Canis lupus familiaris: one gene and its partners. The protein of the gene in region 2 interacts with the protein of the main gene of each other region in a pairwise test. Links are inferred from orthologs where the notes say so. Each region holds a gene or a part of one and is shown on either strand. Other genes may lie near its edges.

Region 1 (3,500 bases), on a different chromosome or scaffold from region 2:
CCTCACCTTATTCAGGTTGCTGCTCACATTTCACCCCATATACTGCTCCTCCATCCTTCTCCCTCCCCTTACTTTGCTTCTCTTCTTCATAACACTTTCTGTTTGACATAGCACAGGTTTTTTTCTTGTTGCTTTTAAATCTTCTCACTAAAAGAGTGTCCAAATAATTAAGCAGGAACTTTGAACAGTGCCTGGCTCAAGGTAGCCACTCAATACATATTCGGTGAAAAAATAATGAGTTCGAAACTTAGGCTCTGGAGTCAGACTCCTTGGATTTGAATCAGGAACCATCACTTGCTATGTTTCCTCCTCTGTAAAATGGGGTTTCTGTTAGTACCTACCCCATAGGATTGCTGGGCAAAGCACTTAGTACAAGGTCTGTCCTACACTGTGCACCCAACCAACGCTAGTTAGCCACTGGGTCCTGGGAGGCGGGGTGTGGGGACAGGTGGAGTGCATCCAGGATGCTCCTGAGGGCCGACAGGAGGGTGCCTGGAGAGGACTGGAGAGGATCTGCCTCGAAGACAAGGAGGGGCATCACCCCAGCACAACCTGGCCTCCCCGGATCAGCCCCAGCGCACCTCGATGATCTCCAGCATCTCGAGGCGCGTGATGCGCCCGTCGCCATCCAGGTCGTACATCTCAAAGGCCCAGTTGAGTTTCTGCTCGAAGCTGCCGCGGGAGGTGACCGAAAGGGCACAGATGAACTCCCGGAAGTCGATGGTGCCGTCGCCGTTCTTGTCGAAGGTGCGGAAAGCGTGCTGCGCAAACTTGGAGGCGTCGCCGTAGGGAAAGAACTAAGACGTGGAGGGAACGTTGGGGAGAAGCCCCAGCCTTGCTGTCCCTGCCCGCCTCCTCGATTGCCTGGCCCCGCCCCCGCCCCCCGGCCCGCCCCCTGGAGTTCCCTGGCCCCGCCCCCGCCGCCGGCCCGCCCACCTTGATGTAGAGCTGCTGGAACTCCTCCAGGTTAAGGATGCCGCTGGGGCAGTCCTTCAGGAAGCCCTTGTACCACTGCTTCAGCTCCTGCTCGCTGAACTCGGTGTTCTGAACCAGGTCCTCCAGCACCTCTGGGGCCAGCTTGCTGTTGGTCTTCCCCATGGCAGGGCCTGGGGGGCAGGACCTCCTTCAGTTCCATCTAGGGCAAGGCCCTCACCTCAGCAGCGATCCCCCAGGACCCCATAGGACAGGGTTCCCTTTCTCCACAACAACCCCTCCCATAACAAACCCTACGTTTCCACAGCCAGGATCCATCCTTCCACAGCAGGGTGTGTCACCACCGCCCTCAACAAGCCCACCTTCCTAGAGCTAGGCCCTATGGTTTACACGCCTTCCGTAGGAGGTCCTGCCTCCCGGCCCCAACACAGACGGGAATCTCTCCCCCTATCAACGGGCACCCCACAATGGCAAGGGCTCCTTTCTCCACAGCAGCACCCCCCTCCTCACAGCTGGTTTCCTCTCCCAGCACCTAGGATCTCCGCCCCCAGGTCTCAGCGCCCCACCTTCTCCCTGATGGTGCTGATTGATGCACAGTCTTCCTGCATACCTTCCCTCTCTCGCGTACACCTGCCAGAGCTCCCCACACCCCTAGAACAGAGTCTTAATCGTCTCCTTGCAACTTAGAGCTTTCCCCTCAGCCCCTAGCCGCCTCTGCAGGCTCTTCTCCACCCAGGGACCTGAGGAAAGTTCCTCATGTGTCCCCCCCGGCATTATCTCCCAAGTTCTCCCTCGAGGCTTTCGGAGCCACCCCAGCAGGAAGCTTCTCTCCCTCCTTCCTCTGTACAAATAGAAGTCCTAGTCGCATTGAAGGCCTTGACTCATCCTGCTTTTCATTAGTCATTCAGTCCCTGAGCAATTATTGAGGCTGACTGTGGGTGCTAGTCCTGTTCCATGATGGGGATAAAGTAGATACGGGCCAACCTTCAGTAACTCATACTTGGGTCAAAGAGGTGGCTGGCTGATTGTCAAGGGCCTTCCATCCATGCTAAGGGGCTTGGCCATTACCCATAGGGATTTTAAAGCAAGGGCTAGGAAGATAGCATTCAGTGCACAAACAGACGCTTTCAGCAGCAGGTCCTGAACTAGGTGCAGGGATGAGAGAGAAGGAATGTGTTTAGAATTTTTTCCTTTGGCTACAGTATGCAAGACGGCCGAGTGGTGGGAAGATGGAGAGCAGAGATGGGCCTGCTGCATAGTTCAGGTGAGAGATGGTGACACTAGGGCAGAGGCCGTGGGATGACGTGGATGGATTGAGACATGTTAGGAGAGGTGGTGGCAAGGCTTGGGTTGGTGACTGAATGTGGGGGGTGTACAGAGAAGTTGAGGCAGATGCTTAGATTTGGGGCTGAATGGGGGCACCTGGGTGGCTCATCTGCCTTTGGCTCAGGTCATGATCCCGAGGTCCTGGGAATGAGTCCCACATCAGGCACAGGGAACCTGCTTCTCCCTCTCTGTGTCTCTTATGAATAAATAAATAAAATCTTAAAAAAAAAAAAAGATTTGGAGGTGGTGTTGCTGAGAAGCAGGTTCTGTTCCCCACTGGAACAGAAGCCGCTTGTGTAGCCTGTGATGGAGGCAGTTTCTGCAGGAGGCATAGGACCTCCCCAGGATATATCGGGAGCGAGGCCCTACCAGGCCCTGAAGGTGGACATTCTCGTCTGACCTCCATGGGAGGAATATCCTGAGTTTCCTAGGAAGCCTGAGATTCCTAGGACATGGCCCAAGAGGTAACTTTGACCTGTCTGGGGTCTCTCTGGAAGGGCACCAGACTCTGACCCCGGGGTAACCAATCATGAAGATACTCTGGAAAAGGAAGTTGTCGGGCCAGCAGAAGGATTCCACTTCCTTAGCCCGCTGCATGCCAGCATGGTGGCTTCTCATCCCTACTGCTAGGAGTGCCCTGAACAACCAGATCTGAGATTGGTCTCTTCCATGCCCCCTCCCTTGCTAGGTGGCTTCCAGTTAGTTATAGGATATCTCTGGGCCTCAGATTCCTCCACGGGGCCTTGAGGAAGATCAAGTAGCAGCAGGAGTAGCAACATTCTCCTCTACCTACCACCCCCAGAGGATGTGGAATCCTCCATGCTCCCAGGAGAAGCCAGGGAGGGGGAGGCATACCATCTTCAGGAACCTGGAGGTGGAGTCCAGGACAGCTACACTGGGCACAAGGATGCTGGCAGTCCCTTTAAGCTATTTCCTTATTTTAGTGAAAACTGGAACCTGGAGAAAGGAGAAAGCTGGCTCGGAGTTACGTAGCAGGTCAGTGGAAGAGTCCAGATGAACACCCAAGCTGAATCCCTGCCACCCTCTCCAAATTATGGCTCCTCTCATCCAGAATAGACCTTCCCTACTCCTGCCTGCCTTCCGGGAAAACCCTAGCTCTGTTCTCCCTCTTGGCCTCTTACTGAACTCCAGGCCACCGTATCTGACATCTAGGAAATATCCATCCCTGGGGGTGACCCAACAGCTCCCCTGACTCCACTCATCTACAAGCAGACACCCTC
Region 2 (3,361 bases):
AAGCCTGGAGGCTATTTCAGAGATGAGACGAGGAGGAAGGCATGGCGGATTCGGGCATGGTTCCAGGACCGCCAGGGCTGAGACGGCGGGGCGGGGGGGCGCTAAGACTGGGGTGACAGAAGAGGCCGGGGAGCCCCTCGGGGGTGACACTTAGGGCTGAGAGAGCCAAGCTGAGGACTCGAGTTTTCCTTCTAGCAATGGGGAGCCATGGCAGGGTAATGAGCACGAGCATGACAGGTTAGATCTGTTGTCGAGGAAGAGCATCCTACGAGGGGATGGGGCCAAGGATGAAGATGGGGCTCCATCAGGCACCCCTGGGGGGATCCAGCCAGAGAGGAGGCAGAGGCTGGGCAGTGGGGAGGCGGGCCCGAGGGGCTCTCGGGGGTAGGCCGCCTGGATGTGGACGCGGACCCAGAGGGCCGTCAGGCTTCAGTGTCTCTCCCCGGGGAGATGTGAGCCTGAGGTATGTGCAACAGGGTGTGAGCAGAGCCGGCCGGCCGAGAATGGCCTGGAAGGGGTGCTGTGGGTGACCCGGGGCAGAGGCTATGGTGGCCCCCGAGCCCCCTCTGCTGGCCCGCGTGCCCACCTCCCAGCAGGTGCCACTGCCTCCGGCCTGCAGCCCTCTCCGGAGCCTTGCCCTTAGCTGCCGGGAGCGGCCTCACTAGAGAGCCCGGGGGGCGGGAGAGCCGATGGCAGGTGACAGCCACACAGCCGCCAGCCTCCACGCCTCCGGCTGCAGTTCAGCTCTGCGCCCCCACAGCGAGGGACGAGGGTGGGCCGTGCTAACGCCAAGGCGGGAGGGGGCAGTGGAGCCTACCCACAAGGGACGAGGTGGCCAGAGCCGCCACGTTGTAGTTGCTGGAGCAGGACCTGGAGTCGGACAGGTAGCCGTTGGTGGTCTGGAAGCACCTCTGCGGGCAGGAGAGGAGGGGTGAGGAGGGTGGAGCAGACCCGCCAGATGCCACCTCCCCGCCACTACCATCCCCAGGAGGCCCCCTCCCCAGGGGGCCTGCCCACTCCACAGGCCCGACCCCCCCACCCCGCTGCTGCCACCAGGGCCGCCCCCCCCATGGCACCGCAGACCGATGGGCGATGGTGTCAGCTGCGGCTGACAGACGGGGGTGGGCAACGTGCACTGACCTGCCAAGGATCCCAACAGAAATCCATCTGTTTGTCCTAAAACAAGAGGAGAAAGAGGGTCAGGCAGGGCCTGGCACCCAGTGCCAGCAGCTGGCACACGTCCCGGAGCCCCGGGGGGGTGGCATGGGCCAGCCCTCTGCTACTCCCTGAGGCCCTGGGTCTGGCTCCTCATGGGTCCTGCCCTGACGTTCCCTTCTCATGCAGACAAAGACGTGCGGCAGGGGATGGGCCATGGCGCCTCTGCCAGGAAGGCAGAGGGGACGGGGGTAGATTAGATCTGGGTTCGAGTTCTGACTCTGCCCTTTCTACCTGGGTATTCTTACACTAGTGCCTTAGCTGCTCTGAGCATCCGTTTCTTCCTCCGTAAAACGATGATAAATGCCATTTATCTCAGGGGTTGTGGTGAAGCAAATGACATAACGTGGGCAAAGCGTCTAGCATAACACCTCGCGTGTGGCATGTGCTCAAAAAAAAAAATAATTATATGAACCAGTAGGTTTAAGCCACAACCTCTGGGGGTGGGGGTGGAAACGACACACCCCAGGAGGATATGAGGCCCCTCACCAGCTCTTCCTGATACATATGGAAAAAGAATGCCACTCTTGGGGAGCCTGGCGGGCTCAGTCGGTAGAGCACGTGGCTCTTGATCTTAGGGTTGTGAGTTTGAGTCCCATGTTGGGTGCAGAAATGACTTAAATAAATAAACTTAAAAAAAAAAAAAAAAGGACGTCTAGGTGGCTCAGTGGTTGACCGTCTGCCTTTGGCTCAGGGTATGATCCTGGAGTCCCGGGATCGAGTCCTGCATCGGGCTCCCTGCATGGAGCCTGCTTCTCCCTCTGCCTGTGTCTCTACCTCTTTCTGTGTCATAAATAATTAATAAATAAATAAATAAATAAATAAATAAATAAATAAATAAATATTAAAAAGAGAGAAAGAGAGAGAGAATGCCACTCCTTTACCCTCCAGAGGGCAGGGCAGGCTGCTAAGGGGTGGTGGGCTGGTCAGGGAACTTGTTATCTGCAAAGCTGAGTTAATTTGGGTGAAAAGACCTCAAAGGTAGGATTCTTCTGAACAAGCCTGGTCCAGTCCCTGGATGCCCAGCCCGATTCAGACCTTCATCCACATGCATACCACACATCAGGGACTCTAATCCCACACCAAGTAGCCCACGAGGGAAAACTGGAAGAGTCTGGGCTCCCCGTGGAACAGTGTAGGGGACATCCCAGGAATCAGGGCCCAGGCAGGGGTGAGGGTGAGGAGCAAGAGGGACCAGTTACCTTGCCAGTGACATGGTCTGGAGCAATAGTAGGTTGGTGCCCGGAGGGCAAGTCCGGGTTCAGGGGGTCCGTGCCCTGCGGCATGGGACAGTCCTTGTGGGCACTTGTGAACAGATCTGGAAAAACAACGACAGGAGGAACTCAGAAAAAAACAAACAAACAAAAAAAACCATACTTTCCTCCTTATGAAGCTTGTTCAGGCCAGCCCCGAGGGATGGGCACTACTTTGTTGTCACCTGATGAAACAGGGTGTCGTCGTGTAGGAAAGAGACCCAAGCCCACGGCACGTGAGGCGTCCAGCCAGATCTGCCCCTGCCTGGTGCCCTCAGTGGGAGTCCTTCCCCCGCGGCCTGTTCTCCATTTTCTTTAATTCTAGCACCCCCTGGGCCAGCCACGACCACCTGGTCCAGCCTACAAGCTCTCCTCCACAGATGCCCTCGACTCCCAGCCCCGTCTGGTCTCACCCTCTGCCGGCCCCCAGCCCGGGCTGCATGTCGCTGGCCTCACACGGGACGTGGTCGGGGATCCTTCTACACGGCTCCAGGCCCCGCTGTTTGCTTCCCGTCAGGCTGCCTACCCGTGCGGCTCTCCTTCTCAAACCCCTGGGGGACGGGGAGCAGCACCCTGCCTGCACCTGCTGCTGGCTGCTCTCCCTCCCTCACTGAGATCCAGAAGCTTCCACAGGCCTCGCCCCACTTTCCCACCTCAAATCATCGCCCTGGCCGCATTTTGCCCAGACCATCTGCTTTCCCTCCTGTGACAAAGGAAGAACTGTCCCTACTCCATCCAAGACCAGCTCCCCTCGCCCTGGCGGCCCCCCCGGCCTGGCCTGCCTCCCCCCACCACTGCCCTGCACTCTCTCTCCTCTCCTCTGCCCATCTGCTGTGTCTCCCTCTTGGTCCCCAGCGTGGTGGCCGTAGTGTTTCTCCAGTCGGGGCTCTTGC
Region 3 (2,823 bases), on a different chromosome or scaffold from region 2:
GTGGAATCTCCTTAAGATTTTTCTCTCCCTCTGCCGCTCCCCCATTCTCTCTCTCAGAAAAAAAGAAAAGAAAAATTAAAAATAAAAATAACAACTAGTATACTTTTGACTTGGAAAGAAAGCAGTGTTCTTTCCTACGGGCTGCCTTTGGAGGACACTTCTCAGCTGGCTGCATGTGTCCTCCACACCATGGGAAGAAGGTAATGTGTCGCTAGCACCCAGTCACATTAAGATGAAACTTAATTTTATACAATGGGTATTTTTTTGAGAACAAAGAAGTTTCATGTTTTATTTAAACTTCACCTACCATGTTCATTGCCCCTCTTTTGAGGGCCAGGATGTAGAGTTGGAAAGTTGCTTTTCTCCATTTCGTTGTCATTAATTCTCTGAATTCTGAGGTTGTGTATTTCAGAGTAGATTTGCTAAGCTGCTGCTAGCTGACCCTTGATAATCATGAACATCCATTTCAGATTTAAAATTATGAAATAAGAATTGAGGGAGAAAGTCAAATGTTATAAATTTATTTGGGACATCTATTGCCACCTCTTTGGGAGCCTTTGAAAATTCAAGCAGAAATCAATACACTTCCAGCTTTTTTTTTTTTTACTTTCAATAAATAATATCTTTGTGTATATGTATATATAGAGAGATATACTTAATTAATGAGTCATGTAGCAGGATTTTTAAGTTTTATACTGCAGTAATTCCAACATAGCTCTTTCCAGATTGATAGAATGCAAATGAGGTAAGAGTTAAGGCAAACCTAAAAGGCATGCAAAGGTAGCACATTTATCTTCACTGATAATACAAGCTCTTGAGTGCGGACCACACAGGGAAGCCAAGGCCTCTCCATGTGCCTGTCCAGTACTATTTTACACGAGAATGGTGACACAGCTTATATTAAGTTACATTACCAGGGGGGTCTCAGTGCTACTAACATGTAATCAAGGAGACACGAGCATTAGCAAAACATGAACAAGAAACCATAGAACTTTTTGCAGCACATTTCTGCCCAGGCTTGAAGGGAGAAGGGTTTTTACGAAATGATGTTACACATATCACATTGTGGCAGGTTGTTTGTTTTATAATATATGCTTTTAAAATTCATTAGCAAATGACATTCTCATGCACACAAGTGTTTCAAACACAAGAAGCAAGTCCATTGATAGGTAGTCCAAGCAATATTTGTGTGCGTGTGTGTGTGTGTGTGTGTGTATGTGTGTGAATAGCTGCAGACTGAATGGAACATTGAGACTTTTGTCAGTCCATAGCGTTGACCTCAGCTCATTTCTGAATGTCGCACTGCAGAAGTAATACAATGGAAGGGTCGCTCTTTGCAGCTTCTTTGAACTCATCCAGTGTAATCTGGTCATCTTTGTTCTTATCCATCTTGCTGAAAATCTTGTCTACTCGCTGCTCAGGCGTGAGACCATCCTCGTTCATCTTCATCATGATCACCGTGCCTACCATCTTATAGATAGCCTTGGGAAAACCAGAAACAGAGCGTAAAGTTCTCCCATGATATGATAAAAGATTTAAATTTACTTCAAAGGATTCCTAAATCGTTTTAAATAAGACAGCGATATAATCAAATATGTGTGAGTCTTGTGACCAACTGGACATAAAAGAATTTCATCCGACTCCCAGGTTGGAGGAAGTGGGGAGACAGAGTACCTCGGTGGTAAGTGCAAGATTAATGGATGAGGAGAAGACTCAGGAGGAAAATGATGACCTCGGTTTTAAACATTCTGGGTTTGAAGTGCAGATGAAAGTCACCAAGCAGTAGCCCTTGAAGATTTAGGAAAAGAGAAATGTGGTCCCAACTGATAAGGAACTTACAATCATTTGCTAAGACAACCAAGCAAGGTGGCCCAGTAATGTTCAGCCCAGAAAGATTAGTTTAGGGAGATCTGTGGATCAGGGACTCTGTTCATAAGTTAAAGAATTCCGACTTTCACTTAACTGTACGCAAGTAATTCTCAACATGGGGATGTCCTAGATAGAAACAACTTTCTTAGGAAACTTCCTGAAGGAAAACAAATGCCCATCTACACCAAGACCTGCAGGTGAATGTTCTAACAGCATTATTAATAATGGCCAAGGAGTGGAAACAGCACCAGCACTCATCAACTGGTAAACAGGTAAACAATATGACAGATCCATACAATTGAATACTATTTCAGCAACAAAAAGGAATAAAATACTGATAAATCCTACAACATAGATTCTTTTAAAAAAGGAATCCAGGCATAAAGGCCATATACTTATATTGTCTGATTCTGTTTATATGAAATGTCCAGAGACACAAATCCATAGAGACAAAGAAGAGCCGAGTCATCTGAGTCTGTAACAGGAACAGGCAGGTGGCATGAGAGGTCTTACTGGGGGAATGGAAACGTCCTAAAATTGGATTATGGGGATGACTGCATACTTTGGTAAATTCACTAAAGATCATTTAATCGTCCAGTTAAAATGGGCGACTTTATGGTCTGCAAATTATAACTCGATAAAGTTTTGTAAGATGTCAGAGGAGCTACGGGCAGCATCTTATGCAACCAGGGGAAAGCTGGCTGAGGAAGTGGGGGCGCCCAGCAGGGCCGCGCTAAGCCCAGGGCAGAAGCCCCGCGTCTGAGAACAGCCCTGGCGCCGGCGTCAGAGCCCGGGGGCTTGGATCTGGACTTGCCAGCGCTGCGCGGGGACGGGGGTCGGGGACGGGGGTCCGGGGACGGGGGACGGGGGTCGGGGGTCGGGGGACGCAACTGGGGGCCGGGCAGGGAAGAAAGGAAGCCGCGCAGCACAGGCTCCAAGCTTCCTCGGGTGGGG

Evidence for each region.
Region 1: the proteins of FAM131C (region 2) and HPCAL4 interact in binary tests that used the Homo sapiens proteins (3 or more experiments, as listed by UniProt). The two-hybrid records come from large-scale screens. The link is inferred for Canis lupus familiaris from reciprocal best matches to the Homo sapiens genes FAM131C and HPCAL4.
Region 3: the proteins of FAM131C (region 2) and VSNL1 interact in binary tests that used the Homo sapiens proteins (3 or more experiments, as listed by UniProt). The two-hybrid records come from large-scale screens. The link is inferred for Canis lupus familiaris from reciprocal best matches to the Homo sapiens genes FAM131C and VSNL1.

The regions. Positions count from the first base shown.
Region 1 is NC_049236.1:3,269,783-3,273,282, reverse strand, and holds part of HPCAL4 (hippocalcin-like protein 4), read right to left. Parts: intron 3,217-3,500; exon of another isoform or gene 3,115-3,216; intron 1,107-3,114; coding exon 937-1,106; intron 798-936; coding exon 582-797; intron 1-581. UniProt on the Homo sapiens protein: May be involved in the calcium-dependent regulation of rhodopsin phosphorylation.
Region 2 is NC_049223.1:81,089,184-81,092,544, reverse strand, and holds part of FAM131C (protein FAM131C), read right to left. Parts: intron 2,534-3,361; coding exon 2,418-2,533; intron 1,177-2,417; coding exon 1,141-1,176; intron 912-1,140; coding exon 818-911; intron 1-817.
Region 3 is NC_049238.1:13,155,319-13,158,141, reverse strand, and holds the end of VSNL1 (visinin-like protein 1), read right to left. Parts: intron 1,483-2,823; coding exon 1,285-1,482; 3' UTR 501-1,284; downstream 1-500.